Linked DNA regions of Mus musculus: all the other regions are reported to be linked to region 4. The links are microRNA targets in miRTarBase. Many come from high-throughput screens and were not tested one by one. Region 4 holds a microRNA gene; each other region holds the end of a gene's coding sequence.
What was found. Region 4 holds the annotated microRNA mmu-miR-3085-3p (UCUGGCUGCUAUGGCCCCCUC, at 1,337-1,357, opposite strand). A microRNA usually pairs through its seed, bases 2 to 8, with sites in the 3' UTR of a target mRNA and lowers its output. Matches are read on the target gene's strand: a 7mer-m8 pairs with bases 2 to 8, a 7mer-A1 pairs with bases 2 to 7 and ends in A, and an 8mer does both.

Region 1: miRTarBase lists Sass6 as a target of mmu-miR-3085-3p. Seed matches in the 3' UTR shown: 7mer-m8 at 3,817-3,823.
Region 2: the mRNA of Pkd2 is a reported target of mmu-miR-3085-3p. Seed matches in the 3' UTR shown: 7mer-m8 at 1,571-1,577 and 7mer-A1 at 2,304-2,310.
Region 3: miRTarBase lists Mprip as a target of mmu-miR-3085-3p. Seed matches in the 3' UTR shown: 7mer-m8 at 2,060-2,066.
Region 5: miRTarBase lists Mylip as a target of mmu-miR-3085-3p. Seed matches in the 3' UTR shown: 7mer-A1 at 1,703-1,709.
Region 6: the mRNA of Dlgap5 is a reported target of mmu-miR-3085-3p. Seed matches in the 3' UTR shown: 7mer-m8 at 4,418-4,424.

What each region holds. Positions count from the first base shown.
Region 1 is chr3:116,628,374-116,633,462 of GRCm38, reverse strand. Sass6 (SAS-6 centriolar assembly protein) reads right to left here. Exons shown (of 17, transcript NM_028349.3): 16 at 4,851-4,945; 17 at 2,477-4,755. The coding sequence ends at 4,649. It overlaps Mfsd14a (major facilitator superfamily domain containing 14A), which reads left to right. Exons shown (of 12, transcript NM_008246.2): 12 at 983-2,299. The coding sequence ends at 1,189. Among named protein-coding and RNA genes, the nearest start is that of Trmt13, 16 kb to the right of the region's middle.
Region 2 is chr5:104,502,856-104,507,932 of GRCm38, forward strand. It overlaps Pkd2 (polycystin 2, transient receptor potential cation channel), which reads left to right. Exons shown (of 15, transcript NM_008861.3): 15 at 597-2,964. The coding sequence ends at 833. Among named protein-coding and RNA genes, the nearest start is that of Thoc2l, 3.0 kb to the right of the region's middle.
Region 3 is chr11:59,775,173-59,780,172 of GRCm38, reverse strand. It overlaps Mprip (myosin phosphatase Rho interacting protein), which reads right to left. Exons shown (of 24, transcript NM_001368931.1): 24 at 1-4,657. The coding sequence ends at 4,586. Among named protein-coding and RNA genes, the nearest start is that of Gm51899, 8.4 kb to the right of the region's middle.
Region 4 is chr19:42,278,759-42,283,847 of GRCm38, forward strand. It overlaps Mir3085 (microRNA 3085), which reads right to left and starts at 1,412; the gene lies at 1,324-1,412. Crtac1 (cartilage acidic protein 1) reads right to left here. Exons shown (of 15, transcript NM_145123.5): 15 at 4,277-4,922. The coding sequence ends at 4,804. It overlaps Gm34347 (a long non-coding RNA gene), which reads left to right. Exons shown (of 3, transcript XR_386718.4): 1 at 1-1,165.
Region 5 is chr13:45,409,668-45,414,756 of GRCm38, forward strand. It overlaps Mylip (myosin regulatory light chain interacting protein), which reads left to right. Exons shown (of 7, transcript NM_153789.3): 7 at 754-2,273. The coding sequence ends at 843. Among named protein-coding and RNA genes, the nearest start is that of Mylip, 22 kb to the left of the region's middle.
Region 6 is chr14:47,383,432-47,388,520 of GRCm38, forward strand. Dlgap5 (DLG associated protein 5) reads right to left here. Exons shown (of 19, transcript NM_144553.2): 19 at 4,348-4,692. The coding sequence ends at 4,585. Lgals3 (lectin, galactose binding, soluble 3) reads left to right here. Exons shown (of 6, transcript NM_010705.3): 5 at 1,171-1,336; 6 at 2,094-2,736. The coding sequence ends at 2,249. Among named protein-coding and RNA genes, the nearest start is that of Lgals3, 12 kb to the left of the region's middle.

The DNA of each region.
Region 1 (5,089 bases), not on the chromosome of region 4:
ATAGCTACAGTACTTACATATAATAATGAATAAATCTTAAAAAAAAAAATAACTAAAGCCTAAGAGACTATTCTTCCCGAGTATCATCTTGCAAAAACTAAAATGAAAAAATCACCTGAAACCACATTTTGTCAATTTGTGCCTAATGGCATGGCAGCCACATCTCCATTCCACCCTGCTACTTTCTTTCCTTCTGACTTCTGGAGTGCTGGGCAGCTGCCATCTATGGCCACATGGAATGTACGCACGGTGGACATTTGTTGACTTGCTTGCTTTATTTCCCAACTGAAATTACCAACCCCAAACCACATGGACCACTGAGCCAATACTAACATCTCTGCAGTTTTCTCGATTAAGCAAGAATTGAACCCCAGGCAAGCCTATTTAATTTTGTGGGCCATATACAACAGAAACAGGGTTTCTGTAGGGTTTTGCCCACAATGAATATGATTTGGGCTAAAATGTTTTATTTTTGTGGTTAGTGGCATTGTATTTATTTTTGAAACACGATTCTACAGGTGTATTATTAACATGTGTAGTTTAGGCTCTGTGCTAAAAGCCACCCACAGTTATCCAAGTTACTTTGCCAGTTTTTGATTTTTGTTTTTAAAGGTTTGAGTACACATTGTTGTCCTCAGACACACCAGAAGAGGGCATCAGATCCCATTACAGATGGTTGTTAGCCACCATGTGGTTGCCTGTAATTGAACTCAGGACCTCTGGAAGAGCAGTCAGCGCTCTTAACCACTGAACTATCTTTCCAGCCCACTTTGCCATTTTTTTGTTGGCAGGATTTTACAATAAGAATAAAAATACCTTTTCTCCTGAAAAGTGATTTTATAGCTATTGCTTCAATAAAGGCATTGACTTTAAAAAAAAAAAAAGAAAATCTGAGCAGACAGTTGCTGAGACATTGGAGGCTGGGGACGGGGGCTGGGGGGAGTATTTGTGCAAAAAACATTAACTATTGTTTCTTCCTCAGAATTCCATCATCCCTGGTCCCCCTTTCCTCTTTGGAGCCTGTTCGGTACTGCTGGCTCTGCTCGTTGCCTTGTTTATTCCGGAACACACTAATTTAAGTTTAAGGTCCAGCAGTTGGAGGAAGCACTGTGGCAGTCACAGCCATCCTCACAGTACACAAGCGCCAGGAGAGGCCAAAGAACCTTTACTCCAGGACACGAATGTGTGACGGAAATCAGGAAGACTTCTCTCTCTCGCAGCACCCAGGTCTTAGTTTTCACCTGTAGCTCTGGATGTACATTCCATTTCCATCTGCAGTGTACTTTAAGACTGTCTTAAGAAATACTTGCATGAACTCCGTGGGAACTAAAGAAAGAACCGGACAGTTTTCCAAAGATGTTACACTTTCTTTCAAAAAGAAACCTTTTGTTTATATTAGCACCACTCTCTTGCCACTAAACTGTTTTATTACACATCTTTAATTAAAGCTCTATCTGTAACTCCGTCTCTGCCATTTCCTTAGGTGTTGAGCCTTTACCTGCTCGTGCTGACTCAGCGACACTAGGCAGGATGGTTATGGACCTGTTTGCTTTAACCTTGTAAAACCTGAGTCATTGTAAAATCTTGGGTCAAATAATTCAAAGCCTTAATGCAGATGCACTAGAAAAGAAATGGTAAAGAATTGTTTGCATTTAAAAGAACTTGTGAAAATTGTAGAAAACCAGAATCATGTTTCAAGCTTGTTTGCCATAATTTTATTTAAAGCATTATTCACGGCTGTTCTGAAGAATGAAAAGATCAGCCACTTAGAATTCAAATTGGGGTGGTCAGAGCCTAGCCATCTGGCTCAATCTGTTTAAATCTGTTCTGCTTCTTATACCACTATTCTTTTGATATTTGCATAATCATAAGGACCTCAACACTTGAATACATAATCTAAAAATTATATAGTAAAGCTGGTAGCCTTGAAAATGTCAATGTGATATCTATATGTAGATAAATATATATAGTGGCCTTTCAGGACTGTCACAGTAACACTTTATTTACAGAGCTAATGTTTGTCCTAAATTTTCAGGACCCTAGAAGAGAGCTTTATACAATTACTGATGTGAATTTCTCTAAAGTGTATATTTTTGTGTCCAGTTATATTATTTAAAAAAGTGTTACTTTGTAAAAATGTACATAAAGTATTGTATAGTTTACACTGTTTTCATCTTGTGTGTGGTTACTGCCTAATGCTTTTTAAACTTGGAGCATTCACTATGATTAAATAAGGTCTCAAATGTAAATATTCTGTTAATAAAATTAAATATTTTAATGATTTTTTTCTTTTTAAAAAGGTCTTGATCTGTGAGTCCCTCCCTGTAAGGCCGGTTTAGGCTTTGTTACAGTAACAAATCCTCTTACCTTAACTTACCTTCTGCAATCCATTTGCTGCCCTCACCTCACCTCACCAAAAACAAAACAAAAAGCCTGAAGATAAAAATAACGAAGTGTGTAGGTCAACCGGAAATGCTTGATTTCCTAAGCACAGTTAGTCTTTTATTTCCTAAACATGCTTCTTGCATATAAAACGCTCAAGCCTCAGTGCTTTATTGACAAAGGTCACAGCTTTCAGAAATAGCAAAAAGCAACATTCTGATGGTTAACACATGTACAGTTATACAACACAAAACAATTTCAGACAAAAGCAGAAGAGGTAGAGCAGAGAGTTGGCGCTATCTGTGTGTGTGGACACTTAGCACAGAGACAGGTCACCAACACCCTGCGTGGAAATGAGCTGTCCTATCGTGGAAACAGGTTTATAAATAGTAAGGGGAGGGTATCTCTTCTAAAAAGCTATATATGTCTTGTATCCCTTTCCAAAGGCTGCCATAGCTCTTAGGTTTATTCTATAGTATTTACAACAGTCCTGTGCTGCATAGAGAGACTTCTTTCCAGAATAAGTGCTTTCAAGTAGTTATAGCAATATTCTTCCCATCACTGAACTGTGATAACAGCCCTCGTTGAAGACAGCTAGCAATAGCCATCATCCTGAAAGTGAGGCTAAAGATTCTACGTCACTGTCTCAAAATGTCTGCAACAGTGTAAAGTACTTGAAAAAAAATGTGTATAAATGTTTTGCCTAGAAACCACATGCATGCCTGATGCACTCTGGGTGACAAAATTGTGAGCTGTCATGTGGGTGCTGGGATTAGAACCCACATCCTCTGAAAAGAGTAGCTAGTGCCGATCATCACTAAGCCATCTCTTCAGCCCCTTGAAACTTAAAATATCACATGATTGTTAACATTTTACAGATAAGATTTTTGGGGTCTTGGAATTTTAATTTCCTTTGGGTGGTTGTCAACAAGAAAACAAAATTAGACCTCTAAGATTATAGAGGGTTGTTTTTGGTTTTTTGTTTCATTTTGTTTTTTAAAACTACTTAATTTCAAAGGAATAGTTCTTGGAAGTTTTTAATAGTGAGGAAGTTGTAATTTCCAATAGTTAACTCTCCTCCTGCTTTATTAACACTGATGACAAATTTTAATATTATAAAAAGTCCCATGAACTTTTATGGTGTTATTACACTGATGATCTTTATGGAATGCCCAGATGACTAAAGCACTTCAGTCATGTAAATACACTGTCCCAATGATTTTTATATAAAAATTATTTCAGAGAAAATGATTTACTCACTATGAATACTTAATTTCACTCAAAATCCTTAAGAGTGTCACTAGGTACATCAACCAAACTCCAAATGCCCATACCCAGGACTTGACTAGCACAAGGTCGAATACACTGTTTTGGGTTTGATTTTTTTTTTGGGGGGGGGGAAGGGGGTTCGAGACAGGGTCTCTCTGTACAGCCCTGGCTGTCCTGGAACTCACTCTGTAGACCAGGCTGGCCTCCAACTCAGAAATCCGCCTGCCTCTGCCTCCCGAGTGCTGGGATTAAAGGCGTGCGCCACCACTGCCCGGCTGGTTTGATATTTTTATCTTACTGATTGGTTATTTTTATTTTCTTTTTTAAGGGAGAAAGAACATAAAATTGGGTGGGTAGGAAACTGGAGACCATCTGGGAGGAGAAATTATAAACCAAATATATTGTGTAACTCAGGCTTGGTGGGTACACAGCTTTAGTCCTAGGTCTTGGGACACAGAGGCAGGTGGATCTGGGTTTGAGGCCAGCCTGGTCTACATACATAGCCAGTTCCAGGACAGCTTGAACTACATAATAATAGACCCTGTCTCAAAAAAAAAAAAAAAAAAAAAACTTTGAAAGTTGTATGAGAACTGAATGTAAAGTCAATGTAAGGCTCAATGGTCACAGGTGGAAGCTCTCCCAGCTCTCAGGTGGCAGATTAAGATTTTTTTTTTTTTACAATAAAAATGATCGAATGAATCACAAGTCTTCAGTTTATATTCCCTGCAGGTGTATCTTGATAAAGTGTCCCTAAGCAGACCAACTGGTAAGAATCTGATACAATCCAGTGACTTTTTGAAACATTCTGTTTTGTTCACAGAAAAAAAAATACCATTTACTCAGCATCCTTATCAATTTCCTAAATTTGTAAATGGCAGCAGTATTATAAAGGATCCAAATGACCTAACAGGAACCAGAAAAAAATTGATTTTGTTATCAATAGTCTGTTAAATCACTTGAATTCCTAAACTGTCGGTGAGCAGTAAAAGGTGTTGGATTAACTACTTGGTAACTGCCCAGGGAAGTAGGCTGAAGACGAGGAGGGGAGAACGGTGGGTTTGGAAGATAGCTGGAACGCTCCCAGCATGCCGTCTTTCTGATGGTCTGCAAGAGACAAAGCACGTAGCATGTCACTGCTTTAAGCACATGTAATGATCCACACTGTACCACTCCACTCACTCAGTCACAGGTCTCCTCACCTGAGTCACTCAACAGATTCTGGCTAAGTCCGCGTAAAGGAATGCTAGCTTCTCTTCTCTTCAAGTATTTGGATTCCAATCCTAAAGTTTCACCACTTAAAAAAAATAATTTTCGTCTTAATTTTCACTTTATTGTTCATTTTCTCTGTTGAGTGTTCCTAGTTGACAAGAAATCAAAATGTTCTAAAATACCTTAGTACAACATTTTTTGACCACCTAAGTGATCATATGATGCCTGA
Region 2 (5,077 bases), not on the chromosome of region 4:
TCATCTAGGTACATCCAAAAAACATGGTCAGTTCTTAGATCAAAGACAAAGTAATCAAGCGAAGTAGTAAACAAGGAGATCACACAAGACAGTAATCTAGCAGAGTAGTAAGCAAAAGGATCACACAAGGGAATAATTAAGACAAGTAGAGAGCAGAGAGATCACACAAGGGGCAAAGCAGTAAACAAAGCCCCATGGCCATGGTTTTTAACATTCTTATCTGAGCCTACTTCCTTGTTCAAGCCCAGTGACAAATGCCAAATTCCTAGAAGCGACACCAAAAACTCTCAACACATCACATTTTGTAACTCTTAATCCCGTGCTTTTCTTCCTCCATATATAGCCTTAGATCAAATAGTAATCAGCAGGCATGAGGTTCCCCTTCCTCTGAGAGCGCTGCCATCCGGGTAGAAGATACCGCTGAGTGAACAGTCATCCCACTGGCTCAGAATTGTTATCGTTTACTGTTCCCATCTGCAGTCTTGAGTTACTATAGCTCATTTCACCTAAAATTTCTAACCCCTTCTCCGTGTAGAATATATAACGTACTGCACACACTGCCCTGGTTTCCATTGTTTCTCTAAATCCCTTGTCAGGATGCGCGACTGGGTCGGGACAGTGAGATCCACAGGGAGCAGATGGAGCGCCTGGTGCGGGAAGAGCTGGAGCGCTGGGAATCGGATGATGCAGCTTCGCAAACAGGTCATGGTGTAAGCACACAAGTGGGACTCGGTGGCCAGCCCCACCCCAGAAACCCGCGCCCTCCTTCCTCCCAGTCTGCAGAGGGCCTGGAAGGTGGAGGTGGAAATGGAAGTGCCAACGTCCATGCCTAATAATCCACACGTGTTTGTGTGTTCCTGAGACACCGAGAGGTGGCTGTCCAGTACGACAATGATAAGTTCGGTATTTATATACCCCGGCTGCATTATGATGCTGGTCTTTGTGACCAATTGTTATAATTTTCTGCACTTTAATTTATTTTACGTAAACTTAAACCCGTGGTTCAAGGAAGGTTTGTCTTACTTTTCTCATGTGAGAAATCTAGGTGTAAATATTGAGTTCAGAAAGAAGAAAACTTTGAAAGTACGCTGATTTGCTGCCCTGCCCGTGTCTTCAGGTGACAGTGTTTGGAAGTTAGAGAGCCTTCACTAGTCTCTGAGTTCGTGTGGAGCCACCACAGTCTGCTGCATTAGTCCAGTGCGAGATGCTAAGGAAAAACATGACATTTCATTCCACTGAGGTATAACTCGGAGCTTACTGCATATCTTTCTTCTAAGGAAGGAGTAGTATTTCAGCAACCTTTCTGGGGTGCAGAGAAAGGATATGTATGTAGCCACTGTGCTAAAATGTGTGTGAACAGTTGAGATAGATGCTAAGCGCCATACCAGTTTGTGGCACTAAGCATATCATTTAATTTTTGTGTTATTTAGCTTTTGTTTCAGATTTGGCAAGGAAAGCTCAAAAGATAAATTATAAGATAAAGTGTAGGATTGGAGCCGGGCAGTGGTGGTGAACGCCTTTAATCCCAACACTTGGGAGGCAGAGGCAGGTGGATTTCTGAGTTCGAGGCCAGCCAGGGCTACACAGAGAAACCCTGTTTCGAAAACCCAAAAAAATAGGTAGGATTGGAAGGGGCCTTCAATTCTTACTACATTTGACTTTTCAATTATTTGTTAGCATAGAAATTTCTCTATTTTTCTTTCCTATGTGTCTCATTTATAACCAAATTTAATATTAAAAAAACTAATAAGACAAACACTGAATATTTTCACTGTGTAGTGAAAGTTTTAACTCATCAAATATGTACATGGGAAGCAGTATTTTAAGAAAGTTTTGAGGTGCATAAAAGCTCTGTAAAAGTAGAGGTCTGGTTTACGTTGTATCTTGAATATTCTTAATATCTAGAATATTCTTAGTCATATATCAGGATGGAGTCATATAATGCAAATTTAGTTCATTTTTATGTGAGGGGCCTTGGGTATTGTAGGTTTATATATTTGCAGAAGAGATCCACTAAAAGTTGACTATCAGCAGTAAGAGAGGGTCTCACAAAATTTATAGGAGAAATCTATATCTCAATATCATTTTGGTTTTTGTGTCTGTCAAAGACAGGTTTTCACTATATACTCCTGGCCGGCCTGGAACTAACTGTGTAAACTAGGCTGCCCTCAGACTCCCAGAGATCCACTGGCTCTCAGCCTCTTGAGTGCTGGGATTAGGGCCAGTGTGACCACAGCAGTTGTTGAATAACTTGGCCCTTTGAGAGCTAGGGGTCAGAAGAAACAAAGCCAAGCTGGTAGAGAAGCCAGAGGTAGAGAACAAGTAGAAGAGAATCCTGGGCTTAGTACCGTATTTGAAATTCACAAGAATTCATTGACTTCCTAGAATATACCAAACCTCTCCAACCTCTAACAGACTGCTGAGTAGACAGGCCTTTTCTCGTCAGCTTCCACAGAAGCGAGGCACGCCATGTTTCCCTGATTCTGATGGCTGCACATCAATCATTTTCTTTTGAATATGCTACACTAATTTTTTTTCCTTCCTAGGTATTGGATTTTGCATTGCAGGGGTATTATTGTATGTATGTATTTATGTATGCGTACTGTACTGTTACAAAGTGAACAAACTTCAACTTGAAGTGCATTAATTATGTGGTATCCATGTGTATCGACCATGTGCCGTATGCCTATTATGGTCACTAGAACATCTTTTATGATGCTTATTATTACAGTGTTTCTCATTTAACTTGTAAACTTTTGTAGAATTCTCCTTTTTTTCCCTTTAGATATAAGTTCATATATTTTTCTACTTTAGTCCTGTGAAGTTTATCCCTAGTCACCTTCCTGGTAGTCTCCCCTCTGTTAAGGGTATAGTTAAGATTTCACATATACAAGGTTCTTTGGACATCAACAATTTCTTAACTGTAATAATGTGTACATTACTTAATAAAGACTTGACATAGTACCATGGTGTTAAAAACACGTTTGTTTCCATAAAAAAGAGGGGGGGTTGCCTTTTATCATAGCATAAACCCTGGGAAAGCACCTTATTTTCTGTGTCATGGAATGATACAAGTAACACATTTATACATTTTTACACTAAATGTAAACTTTTAGACTCCCAGTCTACCTGTCATGCATGGTGGGTACTTCCCCCCCTTCCCCCGCCGCTACCCCCACTACTCACAGAAGTATAACCTAGGACAAAGACTCCAGGACAGCGTGAATCAATTGCCTGTATAGTGGAGTACCAAATAGCCTTTATCTTAGTTACAATTGCTGTTCTAGCATAAACAGGACCCAGGCAACTTATAGAGAAAGAGTTTATTGGTCCTTACAGTGGGTGAGCCTGAAAGATCCTGACAGAATGTAAAAGGTCACAGAAGCCCTGAAATTGGCAAGATAGATTTCACTGTTAGCAGAACTAGCTTCACTGATTTAGAAAAATAGAGGTGCACAATGCTCTGGCCACTCCTTGAACCCGTGTGTCTGCCAATGTTTTGACCGTTCCTTGAACCCAGGTGTGTGCCCACTGCTGCACCTCACTGCCAGGTGTTTGTGATATTGGTTGCTGAGAAAGAGTCGGAAAATCTTCCCAGCAACCACAGCCGGGCCAATCCTGAGTTGCTACACCTGCACCAGACTCTTTCCTTGTACCCCTCCCATACCCATTTCTTGAGAATAGACATTGTTTAGTTCTGGAAACCCCCTACTCCTCCCTTCTCCTTTCCCCCCTGAGGGCCTATAAAAACTGGCCTTTCCCCTCGTGGTCGAATCCTCTACCCCTGCGTGGGATATGAGTCGTCCCCAGAGCTCTGGCTTTCCCCGAATAAAGCCTCATGTGGTTTACATCAAGCCTGGTCTCTCATGAGTTCTTGGGTGTCCGCTATTGTCCCGACGCCTGAGCGAGGGGCTCCTCACGGAGTCTTTCAAACCCACAACCATCATGGTGAGGTGTATGACATCAAGCAGGTAAACATGGCGGTGAGGCAGTAGCCCAGAGCTTACATCTAGATAATAAACATGATGCAGAGAGCTAACTGGTAGTGGTGTGTGCTTTTGACACCTCAGAGATCACCCCAGTGACATATCTTATCCAATAAGGTAACAACTCCTAATCCTTCCCAAATAGTTCTACCAGTTGGGGACCATATATAAGAAACCATGCATGCTCAATATTGCTCAAAAAGCTAAAAGTAAATCTACCATGACTCAGATCCACTCCTCTGCATATGCCCAAAGGACATCCTCCTACAGATGCTTGCTTAGCAGTGTCCATTGCTGCTCTGTTCACCATAGCTAGCGAGGGGGAACCACCTAAATGCCCTTCGAGTGATGGACGGGCAATGCAAATGTGGCACAGATACACCACAGGATAAAGGAAAATGACATCATGATGTTTGCAGGTAAGTGCAGCTCTTGCCAAGATGCAGGCATTAAATAGTTGCTGGGGAAAGAAAAATGAACAATCTCCCACCCACATTCATTATTTTCATATTGGGCAAAGACATCTAAATAGAAATAATTGCTTGGAAAGTGACCAAGCCACTTATACAGTATCTACTGTTATATGCAAGGCAATGTAGTGGATCCTGATCATGGTAAAAATTTTTTTTAATGTGCATCTCTATCTGTCTACAGCTTACTATTGAATCAAAAAAACCTTATTAAGTCATGTGTTTGAGATACATATATGCATATTTGCACATCTCATTTGATTTTATGTATTTCTGTTGCTTTGTAACATAATGGTCAGATATATACTCCTGAACAATTTATTGATTTTATACATACACGACATAATAACCAGATAACAACAGAAATGACAATTTTCGGAGATGGGGTCAAAATATGAGTTCAATTCTTAATGTATTTAAAACCTGATGCCTTTTTAAATTAAAAAGAATTTTAATCTAAAAATAAAGAAGTTTAACTTTCACCCCTCATCAAAGCTTCTTTTCATACTGGATAGAGAGCATGACAGACACCCACAAGTAGCAATGTCCCAGTTCTCCCAGTACAATGTGCAATAACTATAAAATATTTCCAAGTTTCTGTATAATGCATACATACATCCT
Region 3 (5,000 bases), not on the chromosome of region 4:
AACAAAACATAATAGTGAATTTAGTGTTCTTTACAATCTATAGCTTGCTCAAATAAAATTAGATGTGTGGTCTGACTACCTTGTAAAGGAGAGATGAGCCAATGGCATGTCAGCTGTGGCAAGCTGGAGTGGGCTTGTGTGGCTAGGATTCTTAACAGTGGTATCTCTTTATGGCAAATGCCAGCAATGAGGTCCTGCCCCACAATGGAAGCTGCTCCAGGCTGACCTGTGACCCATGCGAAACTGGAGAGGCCCTGAAGTCCTTTAGTTTTGGACTGTCCCACTTTTAACTCTACTGATGGGCTACCTCCTTACCAGTACAGAAATACAGTCATGGAGCTACCTGGAGTCTCATGCTATATACAGTGAGGTCGCTAGAGATATGGGTAGCTGGGCTGCTCTGCACTCAAGTCCAGCCCCGCTGTTAGAGCTAGGCTCCTGGACCTGAAGCAGCGTATGCTCCAGCCAGTTCCCCTAAGAAAAACACCCCGAGAAACCTGAGGGCAAGGTGCCAAGAGTCCCTCATAGTACTGGTTTTCCTTGAGTGGCTCTATGCAAGTCTCACAGAATACTTTAAACAAGAATCAGAGCTTGCTGTGAGTGTGGGCAAGGATATCTTCAGAGTCTGTTGAGTAACCAAAACTTTAAAAGGCATTACTTATTAACATAGTCTTTTTTGTTGTTTAATTTTTAGGCAGTTTTTACTGTGTAAATCTTTTAGAACTCTCTATGTAGACCAGGTTGGTCTTGAACTTAGCCTGCTTCTCTGCCTCCCAAGTGCTAATTAAATGTGTGTGCTACCATGCCTCGCCAACTAATGGTCTTGACATTTGAGAGGGGTTTGCACTGAACACTGCCTTTACATACCTTCAAAAGGGGTATTTTAAAACTCACACAAACTTTGCACAAAAGTTCCTGCACCATGCCTTAGAAATACTTAATATTGCTTGCTCTGATATACAGGAAAGGCTGAGCAAGTGAAGTGCAGGCCATAGGCTGTCCTGTATGTATGCTGGGAGCTCTAATGAGAAAGGCTGTATGAGTCCCTACACTGATAGCCTCTAAGTAGCTTACTAGGTGATGTCATCTTTACAGCATAGCATGAACAGCTAACCCTCCGCTGGCCAAGAGGTAACTACTGACTCTCCACTAGCAGAGTCTGGGGTTTGGGTGTTACTGTTGTCCCTGTAGCTGCCAGCAGACTTTGGTGTGCAGCTTGCACTGGCTTACTTACATGGAGTATGGCATGAGTGGGAAGGCTGCATAGGGCCTCTGGGTGCTTATCCAGCCTGTCTTTGAGAGCCAGGCTTAGTTGGAGGTCAGGTGTGTGGGGCAGGCCTGCAGGAATCTAACTAAGCTGATGCCCTGGTTCACACCCAACAGTGCAGGCTGTGTGCTAGCCAGCTACTTCCCTCGGCGCCAGCTAGGTGGCAGCAGTGAGGCGGTGCTTTCTCTGCAGTTCCAGGGTAGAAAGAAGTCAGCGCACCATCTCCCCCTGTAGAGAGGTTAACAGTAGTACACATTCCTTCAAATATCTTTCATACCCATTTGTTTCCTAGTCAAATCTCTCAGGCTCCCTTTGGACAAATGTTCCAAAGACCACAAGTGTGCTCTCTGTAGTGCTGTAGTTGAACCCCAAATTTTATATATTTTATATCCATGCCCTTAGCCCACCTGTATGTGAGATAGTCTTGCTATGTAGCCCAGACTGACCTTGTACTTTGGAGCGTCAGGTGGTAGGAGTACAGACATGAGTGAGTGCGCCCAGTTCAGTGTTCTGCTAGATCCAATGGAGTTTGCCAACTCTGACCTTTGTTTACACTCAGTGAATGCACACATTCCTAGCGTTCTTCCCTCTGGGGACTCCCTACTTCATGGGGCTCTGGCCTCCTATTATTGTGGCATTGTGGCCACAACCATACTGGAAAAGGTGCAGCCAGTAGCCCTGTGTGGCAGATGTGCTCGGCATCACACGTGCAAAGATGAAGTTTTTTTTTTTTGTTTTTTTTTGTTTTTGTTTTTGTTTTTTTTTTTTGAGACAGGGTTTCTCTGTATAGCCCTGGCTGTCCTGGAACTAACTTTGTAGACCAGGCTGGCCTCGAACTCAGAAATCTGCCTGCCTCTGCCTCCCGAGTGCTGGGATTAAAGGCGTGCACCACCATGCCAGGCTTGCAAGATGTAATTTAAGCATATATTTACATTCACTGTCAAATGGTATGTTCCCTGTAATGGTAGTTTGCTTGTAGATGCTGGTAGACCACAAATGTGTAAAAGAAAGCATGCCACTGACTGACTGTACTGGGAGCAGCCTGTGACTTCTTGATCTACACTACCCATTCTCAGCCAAGCATCCTCTTTTACATATGCCTGAACCAACTCCATTTGCACATTCCATACCTCTTCTCTGAACACACCAACTTCAACTTCTTTCCAGGGAATGGGAAGCCTGTAGAGGGGTCAGGCAAAAGTGAACCTGGCTCAGGGAGTGAGGGAAGGGAATGGACAGAAGACATGTGGCAGTCTAAAATAAACTGCTGCAGTGGGCCGGCAGTTCAGGGACTCAGGAAGACCAACTTCTTGTTTGGTTCATTTTTGCCAGAAGTCACCATCAAGAAAATCAAGATGCACCCTGATCCTGCACATGTTACTGCTCAGACTGGCGTAGACAGTGGGGGATGATCCAGGAATGTCTGCCAGTTCAGCATTTGGCCAACATACCAGATACCCACACGTGAAACAAGCCCTAGAGCAGTGTGTGCTCTATCACAGCAAAAACGAGCCTGCAGTAGGAGCCCTGAGTGACAGATTAGATGGGTGCAGCGTGCCTGTCTCCCAGCCCTTGCCTCTGACATGTAGGTACTTGTACCTTCAGCAAAGTTCATATCCTAGGATTCTGAGGTGAAGAGCAAAAGATCAAGTGTCCTTTTGAATGGTAGGCTTGGCATCTTCCGCAGGCTCTTTGTAGCATCCCAGGAAGCACAAGGCAGGAAGATAATGCAATGGGGCCAGAGGGTCCCAAGGGCAGCAGGATAGCTGCAAGGAAACCGTATGAGAGAACAGGAGTCCTCAACGCACAACCCCAGGCTCCTGAAGGCTAGCCCACTCTGAGCTCAAAGCTTGTTTTAACAGGTCTGACTTGCCCATAATGCTGAAAACATAAATGACCACTGAGCATGTGCCAGAGTGGAACTTAAAAACGTGTGAAAAGGGGAGCCCAGGGCTTGCCTGCTGGTCAGTGGCACACTTTGGTATGTAACAAATCCGTTATCTTGAAGTTTCGACCTGCCTGTCTATTAGGCCAGCTAGACCTTGTACGTCAACTCATGTAGAACCTTTAGGGGACTCATGAGTTGAATTTGTACGCTCAGAGACCATCCATCTGACCCACTTAACACTAACAAGCCAGGACTAAGAAGCCAGATCGCATATCTAGCTATGAGGCTATTGCCTCTCCCATCTGACATGGGGACTCCTGTGTGCTGCATCTTACAGTATGAATGTTTTCTTATGAGAATAGAGAAAAATGTTTTTGTTGGTTTGTTTTTTAAAGAAAATGCTGCAGACTGCTTTGGGTAGTTTCAGGTCCTGTTCAGCTAGAAAAGCAGAGTTAGCACAGGCTCCCTGTCAATGGCTCCATGAGAAGCAGACAATTCAAGGGACCCTTCCAGAGCCCAGACTAACGAGGGTCCTGAGCACACACTGCTGCTATCACCAGTCCTGACAGTCTGTCTTTGCACACGGGCTTCTCCTCACCCTGCCAAGCAGCATGGCAGCTTCTTTTCAGACAGATTAAACCCCAGCAATGTTCCCCTCCAGAGGACTTTGAGGACCCATCACACTTGACAAGTCTGAAGCTTCAGGCTGCAAGTCACTCTTCCGGGCCACCAGAAGACCAGGATTAGCACAGCAAGGGAGGCACGAGCGGAGGAAGGAATGAGAGGGGCCGGGGCTTTTGTGCAAGATTTAATAAAAAACCAAAATAGGAATGGTTGCTTTCAACATTTTCCAGGTTGTGAAGGATTTGCCGGATTATCTGGGTATGGTTCTAAGCTGCATCAGTGGCCAGGTACAAAATGCTGTCCCCCTCCCACATCAAAAGGAAGTGGGCCAGGCTGGACACTTTCCTAGGCCCCTCAGAAATCAGGCCAGCCTACAACATTCGGTGGCTCTGCTCTGACCATCAAGGGTGGTGCTCCGCTGTGTGCGGCAGAGCAGAGCCACTGGCAGGTCCCCACATGTGCACTCTGAGGCAGGGCTAGCTTATTAACAGGCTGCTGTGCCTTAATACTGACAGTGAGTGTGCTGGGAGGACAAGGGGGCTGCTCAGGTATCAGCGGGGAAACCGTCCCACTCTACTGCTTGCGCGTGACTAATCTGAGAATACCATGGGAAAAAAGCTGTGATAAAGACAACAGGAAGTTGGAATTGACAGGGAGGGACTGGAGCAAGCACCCCACAGCAGTCTCTCATGCATCCATCCCCACAGTTAATGACAGCAACAATGAGATGCACAGGTGAAGATGAAAACCACGCTTGGCTTGTGCTGCCACCAGCTGGGAAGGATGTGTCAGTGGAATGGATGCAGCTAATCTTTCTTCAAGTCCCTGGATTCAAAGAGCTTCAAGCGCTCCTGCACCGTCAGGCCTTCCTTCAGACTCTGGTGGAGACAGAGAGGAAGGAGCAGTTAGGTGTTGGTGCAGCAGGCGTAGTGGGCTTCAGTAGCAGGTGCAGGCGAGGGATCCTGAGATTAGTGGGCATGCGAGGGCAGAAGCCCTGAGAGAATCCCTGGAGAAGTAGTGTGACTGGGATTTGCTTTTTCCTGTAAAAATGTACTTGGGTGAGAAAGGGGAAAATAATAAAGAGAAACAAGACCATGTGTCATAGCTCAGTTCTAGCTTAGGGTTGGTTCTTCAGACAAAACCACGAAACACTTGGGTGGAGGACTGGAAACCTGGGCACCTATCATTCTTCCTATATATGGAATGTGCATGTCTCATTCC
Region 4 (5,089 bases):
CTGCAGCATCCCAGGGCAGACAGTGCACACCTCTGGTTGTTCCAGGCACAACTGTTGAGGAGCATGGGAGCTTTGACATCAAATAGAACCTGGCTCCATCATCAATTGTGGTATTTATTAATAATGAGATCTCTGATTTATAGGAGGTGCACTCCATGCCAGACACTGTGGCAAGTTTAATACAATAACTGTGAGGTATCCGTTACTGCTAAAACTCAAGTTTAATAAATGTAAGCTTCATACTCATTTTAGAGACGAGAAACTGAGATTCAAGTATATTTTACCTACTTTAAATCTTAAATACTTTAAATCTTAAATATCTTTTTTTTTTCCTCTAGGGGCTGAGCACTCTGGCCCACCCTACCTAAAGTAACAGTTTGCCTCTACCCAGGTGCTCACAAACTCCCTTAATGTCTCCCCTCTTCCCCCACTCAGGATTTTCTAACACACAAGACTTTTACCGTCATGTTTATACGAGCATGCCTTGCCAAATGTCAACATGGAAGAGATGTTGCCAGTGTTGTTCACCGATAAATATCCAAAGCCACTAGAATAATGTGCAGCACATAGTGGTCTGTATTTGATTATCAGTGACCAGTTGGTTACATAACTCCCTCAGGTGCAAATTACCTGGAAACTGAAAGCACACAGCTTAGGAACCCAAGCTGCAGAGTAGACAGTTTGGGGTCTAAATTACATCGTCAGCCACTTCAGTGAACTCTGACCCTGTGTAGCTTGTTCTTCCCAAGCCTCAGTTTCCTTGGTAATAGAGTAGACCAGTAACATTTGCCTTTCAGGATGGAGTAAGGATTAATGCAGACATCTATGCAGTTTTTGGCATATAGTGGGCATTCCGTAAATGTTAACTTCTCCCCGAGGATGCTCTTGTGTCTTCTTGCTTCTCATTTCTCCTCTGATGGTCTACCCTCTGACTGAACCACTGTTCCACAGTGCTGTGTAAGAGGGCAGAGCTGCTGAGGGCAGAGGACAGTGGGATTATCTGTCCTGTTAACTAGCCCTAGCTGCCTGCCTCCTTCTTCCTCCTTCCAGGATGTTCCTGTTGCCAAGGAAACACAACCTCAGCCCTTGGCAGGTTTCTGACTCCCTGTGGCTTGGCTACTGAGCTTACAAAAGGAATGAGACAGCGGTGACCATGGGCAGAGAGGTAAGGGGAGGGATTTGACTGTCCTCCTGAAGTTGGAGTCTGGAATCTCTGGAACCCTGAGATGATGAAATGATGAAATGTTCTCTGTCTCCATGTTCCTCTAACAGAGGCTGTGTTGGAGTTCTTGCTTGGTCCAGCCTTCTTGGTAGGGATGTGATGCCCAAGCCCTGGGAGGGGGCCATAGCAGCCAGAGTGACTCATATTCAGACTCTTGGCCCTCGGAATGGCACCTTCCCAGAGTTGGGACTGTTGGTGATGGAGGTGACCTGGAGAAAGTGACCAGGCTGGCCTGGTGAGGGCGCTCTCCATGTGGGTGTGGCCTGCTCTTCCTGCAGGCTTTGGTGTGACTCTGGTAGGATTGCTTCAATTCTCAGCTCTCTGGGAACTCTGTTTCTCCCTTCCCACTTAGCCCTTGACTTGGAGAAGGATGAGAGACTGTGGCTTCTGCCCAAACCAGTTGGCTACCTGAATGAAGTGGGTAGGCACGGCAGGGCAGGTAAGCATGCTAGTGGGAGACAGCCAGACTGTCTGGGACGCCACCCCACCTTTGCTTATCCCAGCTGTGTGATCCCGAGGAACCACTTAACCCACCCCTATAATTATAGCCTCTTCCTCTAGGGATTGCTGCAGGGATTAAGCGAGTTGGTTCTTGTAAAGAGTTTATGTCCAACCTAGACACGCTGAGCTCACTCACTGAAAGCCATTATTGTCATTCTGAGGGGGAACATTCCTGGAGGAGACTGCATCAGACAGAGTAAAAGCGATATTATTGTTGTAGTTATTATTACTATTAAAATTGTTAAAGATCGTTTTGAGGGGGTATTCTTGAAAAATGGAACGAAGGATGGGAAGGATCCCACTTCTGCCTTGGCTAGAGTTGATCATGTGTTATTCACCTGCCCTGAAGGTGGCTTTTCCATTTTTTTTTTTTTTTTTTACTTTTTACAACTTGGAGCATAACCTAAAAAAAAGATGTCAGGGACCTAAGTGGGTCTATGGGACAGAAGAAAGATGGGTGTGTGTGCTCCAAAGTGGACAACGAGGGCTCAGAGGCCATGAGCCTCAGGATGAGGAAGTGGAGGAGTTAAGGGGATGGGGACAGTGGCCTCCTAAGCCTTGCTGAAGCTTGCACCCACTCACCCGTGGCTGATAACGCTCAGGAAGTGAAATGAAGGTCTGGAGCCAGGGGCACCCAGCTCCAATATCTGGATGCCTGGTGAGTGGCGGGCAGGTGATGTTGGGTTGGTTCAGAGTCTGCCCATCTTCCATAAAGTTTAACCTGGTATTTTTTTCCTCCAATATAAGCTTCTTGGGTGTAGGAGACTTAACCTTCTCACTGAGGGGAGCTGGTTACCTTCTTCATGAGAAACCCACGAGGTCCTTAATCAACACTTGCTGAATGGACACACGGATAAATGAATGCATAGTGTTTGCTTCTCAGGCGCAGTAACCTGAGAACCTAGCTAGACTTTTAAGAAAGCCCCTTATAGTCCCCTCCCACACTATACTTGGCTTTTTCCATCCAGCTGGAGGGAAGGTGGTGTGCGTGTGGGGTATCAAACATGTTATCTTTACTCACTGTTACAAACCTAGAGCCCTACCCAGGCCCTGTTGCAGAACAGGGGCTCAGCCAATAGCTGTTGAATGAATGAACGCCACGGAAAGCCTTCTTACCCTGAGTTTGCTCTCAGCAGTTAGGGAGCCTTGAACTTCTTTCTTTGACTCCCCTGACATTCCCACCAGATAGGATGAAATGGCACTGCCAGACCCCGTGGCCTGAAACTCAACCGGGGGTGGGGGGGGGGGAGGGATCAGGCATCCTCTGGAGTTGGCCGTCACACTTGGTGTCCTTGGCAGGCTGTCTCGCTGGTTTTTATTTTTATTTTTTCCTACTCCCATTTCTCATGCTGACATGTGTGGCCAGTCAATGGAGCTCGCTATCTTGTCATTTCCTACTGCTCTGCGCTGCATTTGCGACCAGTCCCCGTGGGCTCTGGGTCTTCCTTGTCTTACTATCTCAGATCCACTTGTTCAGGTCTGAAAAGGCAAGGGCTTCCGGGGTGAACGGGGAAAGGTCTGAGCAGCAAGTGTACAGCCGCTCACCCTTAACATGATGGCAGGAAGAGCTGCATGCCTGGTGTGGGGGGCCAGCTGGCTCTGTGACCTTGGGCAGGGTGACCTCCACCACTTCATCTCTCTGAGTCTCATGTCTGGGGCCCTTGCAGATCTTTAATTCCCTGTCGATGGGTAGGGACGGTGCTGGTGGAATTGGAACGATTTTTAAGTTGTTATGTGCTTCCCAGGGAAATTGTAGCTGTTTTCATTTTAAAACTTTTCATTTAGGCTCTGGTTCTGAGTGTAAACACAGCGCTAGCTACAAGGAATTCATATTTGGTGATTTATTGGGAATATTATTATGGTATCAGGAAAGGGTAGTTTTTTGTTAAATATGTTTTTAAAAGGCTTGCTGCATTCTTAAGCATGATTTTATTATATCTTCAAGCGACTTTTTTCCCCCATGAAGAATATATCTGTGATTTATAATGGGCCTTCACTAGCAGAGCTGGTCATGAGCATATTCTGTGGTGTTACATCATCCCCAAAGAGTACTCTGGCTACGGGCACTCCCAGGCTCCCAAGCATATTGCAGAGGCTGAGTTGCTAAGTTCTTTCTAGAAACCAGCACTGCTGGAGACTCACCATACCTATGTCCAGTCACGCAGCGGGGAGTTGGGGAGAACAGGGGGTGTATGGATGTACTGACCCAACTCTCTTGTCATTTACGGAAAGGCAATGGGGTTCCAGAACGGAGACGTTAATTCCTGGAAGGATACTGCACTGATACAGCACTGCCTCCGTGCCTGCCCCTCACCCACTCCACGTGCCTTGTCTGGTCCTCCGAGTATTTCCTTCACCCAGCCGCACGGCTGGGGCCCGAGGACGGCACTTCCCTTACGCCATGACTTGTTTCCTTGTACCCCCTGGTGGAAGGGTCACAGCTAATTCAACACTCCAACCAGCATGTACTTGCTCAGACACCCCCTCCCCCATGGCTAATATCCAGCAGAGTCTACTGGCATCATTTCTCCAGAAAAGAGGCTGGAAGACTTAGCAAGTTCAAACTTAAGCATTTTTTTTTTATCAACAGTCCCAAAGGGCCACCCTTTCCCTTTCCGTCGCCACCACCAATCCAATAAGGCTTCCGTAATCATAGGAAATCAGGTTGTACAAAGCAGCAGCAGCAGCACAGGCCGGATCAGCAGGCACAGGATACATTACTGAATCAACCGAGCCAGCAACCACCCAGGAGCCATCTTTGTCAAGGGCAAAACAAGAAGAAGCTCACGAAGATACAGAAATGACTGGACTCTCTTGGTTCTTCTCACGGAAGGAGGGGTGGGGTAGAGGAGATAGTTTTCCTTTTTCTGTTTTCTCAGAAAACATGCAAAGAAAGGCTTCACCAACAACTAAGGTCCCATCAGTATCTCCCAAACTTCCCTTTTCAAAGATGGCCACCCCTGCTGTCCGTTCGAAGGAGCACATGGCGGGATCTATGGGGTGTGGAGAGAGGTAGGCAGCAGGAGAGATATAGTTTTCCACAAAGGTTGTTAGATTTTTTTTTCCTTTATTGATGGGATTTAAAGTGCATATAACTGAAGGCAAAGTCCCAGGCCTAGAGAAAGATACGAGGCCTGAGAGAGAGGCTCAGAGAGTCTAAAGGCAGCCGATGAGTACCCACCTAAAAAGGCCACTTGAGCTGCAAAAAAACAAACAAAAGCGCAGGGAGGTAAAAAAAAATGGGGAGAGACAAAGGGTTGGTTGGGAGGAAGGATTTTGGGAGGAAGGATAAGACAAACACTAATTCAGAAATTATCTGCCAAAGGTGACTTGGAGGAGCTATTTGCATCCCAGCTATGAAAACAC
Region 5 (5,089 bases), not on the chromosome of region 4:
TGAAGGGTGTGTGCCAAAAAGCCACTAGAAGCTTGTTGCCCCTGGCCACAAGGGCATCTGCCCACTGATAATGACCCCAAGATAGTTGAACTAAGGTCTCTCTACAGACATACCTCCACCATGGTGGCCAGAGGTACAGGGACCTCTTCCTGTATGCATGGCTCCAGCCTGGACAAAAGGAAGACTGATGCTAACAGAAGGGCTAGGGAGGTGGCTGGACCAATAAACTCTCTGTGTTGCAGGGCACAGGGATCTGAGTTCAGTCCCTAGAGCCTTCTAGTTAAAAAGCTGTGTGTGTGGGGGGGTCAGGGTTGAAACAGCTGCAGGGATTTTTAATCCTAGTGTTAGCAAAGGAGGTAGAGGAAAGGCAGGAACGACAGGGCTCGAATACCAGCCAGACCAGCTTAACCAGTGTTCTCCATCTGAGAGACCCTGTGTCCAGAAACAGGTTGAGGTCTTTGAGAACTGACACACGAGGATGACCATTGGTCACACATACACACATGCACACATGCACACGCACACACGCACGCACACACAGTTTGACAGAAAATAGTTTTCTTCAGTGGATGTCTTTTCCTAACATTCGTTGTTAATCTGTATAAAGTATAAATATTCAAGCCTGTTCCAGAGCACTTGAAAGCTTAGAACTGGATCACAGTGGCGTCGTATCTAGAAAACTGACTGTCGGGGCACCAAGGCTGAACTCCCAGGTCCCACAAATGTCCTAACCAGTGGTGGCTTCTTTTGCAGTCCTGTCCGGTCTGCAGATCCCGTGTGGAGCATGTCCAGCACGTCTACCTGCCCACCCACACCAGTCTCCTCAATCTGACTGTCATCTGATGCGTCCTGCACTCGATGGACAAGCCATGTCCCCACAAGCTGCAGTATTGTAAACTATAAGAATAATAACTTTGTGAAGAGCTATTTCACTCTCAACACCCATCTGCCATGAGACATTTTCAGAAACAAGGAGGAAAAGAAAACAAGAATGTGACCACACCTCTTCCGTGAGGAGAAGCAACAGGCCCCATGGCCACCAGGAAGAACTCTGGGACACGGACACATTCCTTGAACTTTAGGGTTGGTTTTTTTTTTTAATGATCAAGTAAAGGAGTAGATAGAATCGTCTTCGTCAGTCAAGTGGCAACATGGCCCAACCGTGGGCACCTTTTAGGAAATGACGTCATATGTCTCCTTCACTTTTTCCCCGGGCAGCAGATTTTGTAAGTGTTTTAAGGATTTCCTTGGTTCTTTTTGTATGGTCATGGAGCGCTGAATATTTTTAATAGGGATTTTTTTTCTTAAAGAAATAGTCCTCATTATAAAAGTCATTTCTGTCTTTATAACTCATTCAAGAACAACTGGAAAAGCTGGCAGATTGAAAAAAAAAAAGCAATCCTGTGACTTCCCAAGGGTTGACAGCAATGTTGTCAGATTGGAAGCAGTCTGGCTGAGAGCCAATAGGTAACTCACCGTGGGTGACTTCCTTCCTAGAGCCCTTCCGTTTCCCCTCATTCCACACCCCATGCCTTTCACTGATAAAAATGCTACCAGTTTGGTTAAGAGACATACATGGTAGAGTCAAGCACTCCCTGGGCTTTGGAGATTGGAAAGCGAGAGTAGCTTCCTTGAAGGAAAAAGATGAGAGAGAGAGAGAGAGAGAGAGAGAGAGAGAGAGAGAGAGAGAGAGAGAGAGATGAGCCAGAGAGCCACTCAGTATGCCCGAGTGGTTCTTCACTTTCCCAAGCACTCACTCCAGCTGCACCCATGGGTGTCGCCTTGCTTGAAGATCAAACTTTCTACAGCCTTATAGGTTTCTAGATAGTGTCTCCTTTTTGTGTATGTCTTGTTTCTCGTTGTTCGAGTTTTCCTATGTCAGTGCTTCCATACTCATTGTCCTGCCCCCTCGGTGTCTTCCAGAGGTAGGGCTACTTCTTTATGTTTCCATATTCTAAGTTTTCACCCCCACTTGGGCATTTTGGAAGCTAGTGAGCTAGGGGGTTTTCTAGGGTGTCAGGAAACCTAGCTGACCTCATCGGGTGCAATACTAGCTAAGTTAAAGCTAGAAGCCTACACTGTCACTTTACTGAGATTTCTGAGTCTACGTTTCATATTGCCTTAATGTAGCAGTAATGTGTTTATGCATTTGTTTCTTTGCACAGACATTTTGTCAGATATTAAAACTCTACTTTTTTATGGCACATATTAGCATATAAGCCTTTATTCCAAGAGGTATTTATTTTTTCACTTGTAAAAAAAATAATGTTTCCACATTTAAAAAAAAAAAAACTCTGTTATATCCTAGAGGACTTCTGTCTTTTATATTCAGGATAATAAAGACTTTAAAGCAAACTGGGCCTTTGTGATCTTATGGTTATTGTCACGTAGGCCATTTTGCCATTGAGTGAGCACTTCACCTCAAGGTTGGGACATTTAAGGTGTTAAGGTGGCTTCACTGAGAGGATCTGCCCAGGTCTTCTATCATCTGTTTTTGGACATACAAGGTTTGAAGGTAGGTGAACAAGATTCTGTGACACACATGGTGTATGCAAAGGATAGCTTGGGGAGGAGGGAAGCAAAGTGGCTCACCCAGTAAAAGATTTTGCTACATAAGTGTGATGGCCTGAGTCATCATGGAACCCACATGAAGAGGAGAGGAAAGATCCAACTCAGCAAAGTTGGCTTATGACGGTCACACATGGGGCTCGCAAGGCTCAGTCACAGCAGAAACATACTGTGGTGTCCGGGACTGCCTTCCTACAGTACTACTGCATGCTTCTGCTGGGCTGTGCTGGTGTGTGCACATCTATGCTGAAAATGCTTTGTATGGTAGAGTATTTTAAACTATCTGTAACTGATACCTTTACAATTGGGAGACAGACCCCAACACAGCCTCCCATTGGTTTCTAGGAGTCAGCTCATTTATTCAACATATTTATTAGACAACAACTCAATGGTTAATGAGCCCCAGAACTTTCAAAGAAAAACAGTCAAAGACACAATTTATCACATACCCAGAGCAGCAGCAGAGTATTGGGTGTCTTTGGGATTTACAGTGTCTGTGTAGTGCCTGTGACACGCATGGGTGCTTCCGTATGGAAGTTCAGTGATGTTCAGGTTTGTGTACATGACTGTCTCAGAATGATAACCAGGATGAATGGGTGGGTGAGTGACAGGTCAACAAATAACATTGCTTGTACTCCATGGGCCAGGGACTTAAGCTTAGCAACCAGCATGAAAACCCATGTATTACTTGGCTTTCTAGAAGCATAAGGGACGACACACTGCTGAGCATAGGAGATACTGACTACCTCTGCTTAGGGTCCAGGGTAAACATGCTTCAGTAGGACCTTTGAGCAAGACTTGTATTCTGTAGATGGGGGAAAAGCCGTATGGCCCCTGTCAAGGCTACAATGCAGCCAGCCAGTGGGTCTTGCCCAGGCTCACATATCAATGCACTGATAAGAAATTAGGCTCTGAAGGAATATGTGGCATGGGGAAACAGTGAGGGGAACCTTCAATTCCAGGTTTGACTTTGGTACTCTCTACTGCCTTCAGAGGCAGGAACTGGCAAGACAGGAAAGCTTGTACAACAACTAACACATGAGACAGAGGAGAGCAGAGAGACAACTCAGTTTTGATTATGTCTTGACATGAAGAAAACAAGGAAAGTGGGCCAGAGAGATGGCTCAGTAGGCAAAGACTGACAAAGTGGAAGATGGATGGAGAGATGGCTCAGCCGTTAAGAGCCCTGGCTGCTCTTGCAGAGGACCTTGGTCAGATTCCCTGTACCCACATGGTGGTTTACAACCAATTGGATCCCCCATTTCCAGGGGATCTGATGCCCTCTTCTGGCCTCTACATGCACCAGACATGCATGTGAGACACAGACATACATGCAGGCAAAATAGTCATACACATACTTTTTTTTTAAGGTGGATGGAGAGAAATCAGTAAAGTTGTCCTCTGACCTCCACATGCTCCCCGTGGCATGTACACACACAGACATACCATGCGTGCACACAATGATCAAAGAATAAGATTTTTTTAAAAAGGGTAAGACAAATGAAAAGACTTGATGAGGCGTGTCATAAAGATTGAAAACAACTGAAAGGAGAATCCATAGGGGGAAGGGGTTAGTGACTTGTTGCTATGACCAGATACCTGTGTCAAGAAGCAACCTGGGAAAAGAAGGATTTATTTGGACACACACTCTAAGAGGAGATGCATCTACTCCATCAAGGAGAGGGAAACATGGTAGCAGGCACATGAGGTTGCTGGTCGTGCTGAGCCTGCCAGCAGAGAGCAGACATTGGACAGGAAGTGGGCTAGGCTATGAAACCTCAGAGACCCACTCTTTTTAGCAGGACTTTTCTCCCTTAAGATTTCACAGTCCTTCAAGCCAGCCCCACCGGCCGAGGACGAAGTGTTCAGATATATGAACCTAAGGGAACTTTTTACATCCAAACCACAGTAGGAGGGATCCTCAGGAACAGAAAGGAATTTGCTTTGTTTGGATCCTGGAAAGCTAACAGAGGCCCTACTTAGAATCACCTGGAACTGGTTAGAAGCCAGAGTCAGACTTCCGGGGTCGGGACTTCCGGGGTTGGGACTTCCCGGGTTGAGAAAGAAAGAAGCCCTTTGTGTTAAAGATGTGAAAGTGACCAAAGAAGCAGCTGGTACCCCCAGAGGAGGCGGGGCTAAAACGTGCTCTTGGAAGTTGTTTTGTTAAAAAGCAAACATTTGTTTTTGGTTTTTCCCCTTGGGCCTTCAAGATAACTAAAAAATGAAAGCCGAGCACCTCTGCCTTCTTTTGGTCCCTGTCTCCAGGCTAAAGAGACAGAGACAGAAATCAATGTCCTTAATCTGACCTCCAGAAGTCATCTTGGATTCCCAGCACAGCAGAAGACCACCAGACAGAGAGGCCACGCCCAAAGATGAGAATAATTACCCATGAAAGTCAGGCTGTACCCTAGAATGATCGTGTGGGGGCCATTTGATGCCTTTAAGTCATGACAGCCATAAGGAAGGACTTCTTCAAAACCCTTCACTAGAATAAGACAGAGACCAACTGATTGGATGTTTG
Region 6 (5,089 bases), not on the chromosome of region 4:
CTCCAGCCAACCTCCCTCCTCTGGTTCTGCGTGGGAAGCACTGTCCCAAGCCACTCTTCTTTCCACATGGCTTAGAGAGATGCTCTAAGTTTGGTGTCCCATCACATGGTATAACTTGTCTCACAGTAAATACTCTCATATGTATGAGGGTTATATGTGTATGTTCTTCTCAAAATATATATTTATATAACCTGTTCCAACATAGCGCAGACTATAGAGTTAACATTAACAATTGAGGGTTATTGCACTAGATAATTTAGTTCCAGTAACACTAGTAATGTAGCCTACAATACTGACATGTAGACTACATGTACTGACAACTCAAAACTGATTCTGGGTCAAATAGTAAACAGAAAAAGAACTGTGTGAACCCACAAACACCCTAACAAATTCATGGGGAAAAAGTGCTTGTGTGACAGAGATGACAATCTCTGTCCACGGGAGAACTAGAACCAGTGGACCCAATCACTACGGTCACATTCCCCAACTGCTCCTGAGTTATTCAGAATACCCAAAGAATCACTGTTGGGTCTAGATCACAGACATCAGCTTCTAGTGTTACTGTAGGGAGCTCACCTTAAGACACCCAGTAGGGCCAGTCCCTTAACAACAGACTTGAGTTTGCATTAACACACAAGAACAAAAAGGGTCAGAAAGTTCACGGGGCACTTTAGCCAGTCGCACCTCGTGTCCTGACTTTACCACGTAGCAACCAGGAAGGAAACATTAGCTACATCCGTGTACCCTGCTGTTCTGAGATTTCCGGTTAACCATGGCAAAGTCAGGTACTCGATAGTTCTTAGGTAGCTGGCTTGCTTTTGATGGATATTAGTGACACACACTTAAAATCACAGCCCTGGGGAGGCCAAGGTAGGTGAGAGTCACAAGCTGGAGGCCAGCCTGGGCTCCATAGTGAGATCCTGTCTCAATGACCAGACAAGGCAGATTCGTCCCGCTGGACTTGACTTTCGAGGTGATCACACTAACAAATGAGAGGATGTGCCCGTTCTTTTGAGTTGGATCTGATACTGTGGCTTATTTGCCTCCAGAACCGAAAAAAAAAAAAAAAAAACAGTTCCAACATGTTATGAAAGGGTTTGCATTTTAGAAAGTTAAATGTTCTTGACTTGATACACACTTTAATTATCTTCTATTTCTGGTTTAAAACAGGATTGTTCTAGATTTCAGGAGAGGGAATGATGTTGCCTTCCACTTTAACCCCCGCTTCAATGAGAACAACAGGAGAGTCATTGTGTGTAACACGAAGCAGGACAATAACTGGGGAAAGGAAGAAAGACAGTCAGCCTTCCCCTTTGAGAGTGGCAAACCATTCAAAGTAAGTTGGGGCTTTGGCTGTATGCGCACAGCGTTCTCTTACCAAGGGGAATCACGGAAAAACCTGTCCTAGGCACCTGGCCAATCTTCCTCCCCACCCCAGCAACCAGCCTCAACAGGCTAGGGCTGAGGCAGGAGCAGCGTGTCCTTCAGCTCCTTCAGGAGCCTCCCCATTGCCACGGGCACCTCTCCAAACAATCTTCCAATAGCGCATCGCTGGTCTCTATCACAAAAGTCCACTTACAGGATTTAAGGATGAATGTTCATTAACTACGGGAAAAAGTATTTCCCAGCCTTCCCAAAACTGGCTATAAATTTGTCATTAAGGGATTCCTTCCTATGTTGCTGTTTTTAACTTTTGGTATTATGGACCCATTAAGCTTTTGGGTTGGTTTTTGTTGAGAAAATAGGGTTTCTTTCTGTAGCCCTGGTTGTCCAGGTACTCAGAGATCTGCCTCCTGAGTGCTTCTGATAACTTTGATATCTTTTTATTGTGTTTTAGATCGGACAATGTAGATTCATTTTTGCTATCCAGCTACTGCTCTGGGTCATTTTCATTCCAGAAGTAAAAGTAAAAATGAAACTTCCTGAACTAAGGATACACTGGTTTAGGAATCAATATATATTTCCTTTACATAAAAATGGCAGATGAAAACAAAACACGGCAGACAGTATGTCCTGGGAAACACACATGGTGGAATGCCTAAATTGTACTGGTTATTATATGCTTTTGACGGTTTCCCATGTTTGGTTCCTAGATACAAGTCCTGGTTGAAGCTGACCACTTCAAGGTTGCGGTCAACGATGCTCACCTACTGCAGTACAACCATCGGATGAAGAACCTCCGGGAAATCAGCCAACTGGGGATCAGTGGTGACATAACCCTCACCAGCGCTAACCACGCCATGATCTAAGCCAGAAGGGGCGGCACCGAAACCGGCCCTGTGTGCCTTAGGAGTGGGAAACTTTGCATTTCTCTCTCCTTATCCTTCTTGTAAGACATCCATTTAATAAAGTCTCATGCTGAGAGATACCCATCGCTTTGGGGGTTTTTATGATACTGGATGTCAAATCTTAGGACTGCTCGTGACTGCTAGGCAAGTGTTCTCTCACTGAGCTACACATCCCTAGCCTTTTAAACTTTGTGTGTTGTGTGTCTGTGCACATGGGTACAGGTGCCTGCTCACTTGAGAGGCACCAGGCCTCCTGGAGCTGGAGTTACAGGTGGTTGTAAGTAAGCTGTGTGACCAGGTTGCTGGGAACCAGTCTCAGATCCTCCTGAGACAGGTCAGGTCCACTGATGCCTCCAGCTGCCTGTCTTTATATGCCCTTTGATTTGGTGCAGTTTTATATAAAGGGAACTATGTAATTATCAATAAACCATCCTGATTTTTACAAAGGAAATACGCTGAATGGCGCCAGCTCAACAGCAGACAGTTACCGTCGGCATCTGGGGAGAGTTGTGTTGCTTAGCGCTGCTCGGCGATTCCAAGGAAAGATCAAAGGGTGCACTTACACAACCCTAGATAAGGGCCAATCAGGAACAGGAAAGAACGACGTGAGGCTGCTGCCAGTGCTGACCCTGCACACTGTCTTCCAGCATTATTCTGTACCATGCAGACTCTGCTCTATACGACTGGGAGCAGGTCGCTCACACCAGCATCACTGCAATTATGGGACAATCAGGTATATAGTCCTGAACTATCTGTTGTGGAGGCTGGTCTTAAACCCATTTTTCCTGTAAAGCCCCAGGTTATTGCCTTCAAATGAGTACTCAACACCATTAAGACTGTGTCTTGGTTTTCATGTCCATTCTCATACCTAACACTTTCTATCTTTCCTATTATCAGTAAGCTCAAAGTAGGAAAAGGTCAAAAGTCTTGTTCTACAACGTTATCTTCTCGATTAGTTTAAACTGGTGAATGTCACAAGCTGGCGTCCCAGGAAAACAGAAATCAAGAGGTCTGTAAGAACAAGCACTTGCAATTGCAACTGATGGGACAAGAATGTACAGAGAGCTGGGTCTCTCCTTCCAGAATGTAGGTTCCGGGCATTGCTCTCAGGTTTGGTGTCCTTACCCACCAGGCAATTTCTCCACCCATAACTTTCCGTCATCCATTAGCAAGCTGTTCCATGCCGCCTCAGGTTTTGGTAAGGGGGGGCATTTTATGAACATTCCTCTATGCAAACTCCTCAAGTAACCTTCCAGTAAGTTGTTTGGGTGTCATGATAAGCACCATCTTTCCCCAAAGCCAAACACACCTACTTCTGACGTCAAAAGTAGACTAAACTTTCTCTTGAAAATGTCTAACCCTAAACCTGTAAGGTTCCTATTCTGTGTGGAATGTCTCCTTCCAAAGCACTCAGGCCAAATTATAACACAGGAAACACGGGGAACACAGGGTAGGGCTGTTAGCTTTTGCTACTGTTTGCTGTTGGTAGCACTGAGTTGTCACTTATGTTCTACTGTATGTATGAATGTATGATGTATGTATGTATGTATGTATGTGCGTGGGGGGAGGGGAAGGGCTGAAATATGCCACAACATGAAGGTGGTGTCAGAGGACAGTGCCTTTCTCTGAGCCATCTCCTTCCCGTATCAGCAGTGTTTTACGGTCATGACGCTAAGGGATTATAAAATCAGAGCTGGAGTAGCGACTCAGCCAAGTGCACACACTGCTCTTCCAGAGGACTGGCTTTCCAGCGCCCATGTGAAATAGCTCACAGCATCCTGAAATTCCAGATTTTTTTGTAAAGATTCTTCTCTCTTTCATCCTTGTCCATGGCAGCTAGCTCTGTTAAAGGGGAAATTACCAGAGGCAGCAAGGATTGAACAGTGTAACTATAATCAGTGCACTTCATGATTCAGGAAACCTTATCTAAAGGAATACAGGAAAACCAAACTATCCTGATGTCAACAGATACAGGTGCTCAAATGAAAATCTATAAAATGAGCCGGCAGATGCAAAACTATCTCACTTTATCAGAGAATTAACAATGCGAAGAAAAGAATGTTTGTTTGTTTGTTTATTTATTTATTTATTTATTTTGGTTTTTCGAGACAGGGTTTCTCTGTATAGTCCTGGCTGTCCTGGAACTCACTCTGTAGACCAGGCTGGCCTCGAACTCAGAAATCCGCCTGCCTCTACCTCCCGGAGTGCTGGGATTAAAGGCGAGCACTGAATGTTTATTTAAATTAATATTAAAAGTCATGTTAAATTTAAAGCCCTCCTGGTGTTCCCTTCAGGGTCATAGTGGTGAGAAGAGAATGAGGTCACCTCCAAAGGAGAACTGTCTGCTGCGATCTGGCTGTCTGGTCTCCTCCCGAGTGCAGGGGCTGGTGCAGCTGAGGCCTGGCTAAAGAACACAGCAGAGCAGTCAAGGAATCCACCATCGAGTGTGGCCCCAAATAAGCTTTTTACACCCTTAGTTAACTGAGTGCCAAGGAGTAAGTAACTTTCCCTATGTAACAATGAAATTATTAACAGCGTAAGACCTAATGTAAAGGATTTTTGTTTTTTATGTGCACCACCATAGCAGGCGGATCTCAAGCTGCCAGCCTGGTCTACAGAGTGAGTTATAGGACACCCAAAGCTACACACACAAATCCTGTCTCACCTCCTGAGCCCCCAGTGAAGACCCGCAGCAGAGCACAGCTGGAGTAAAGAATTTCAGGGTGAAGACCACCAAGGAGGATGGCGATGGGGACAGACCCCGCCCACCACGTCCTGGCTGCAGCAGAAGCAACAGCTTT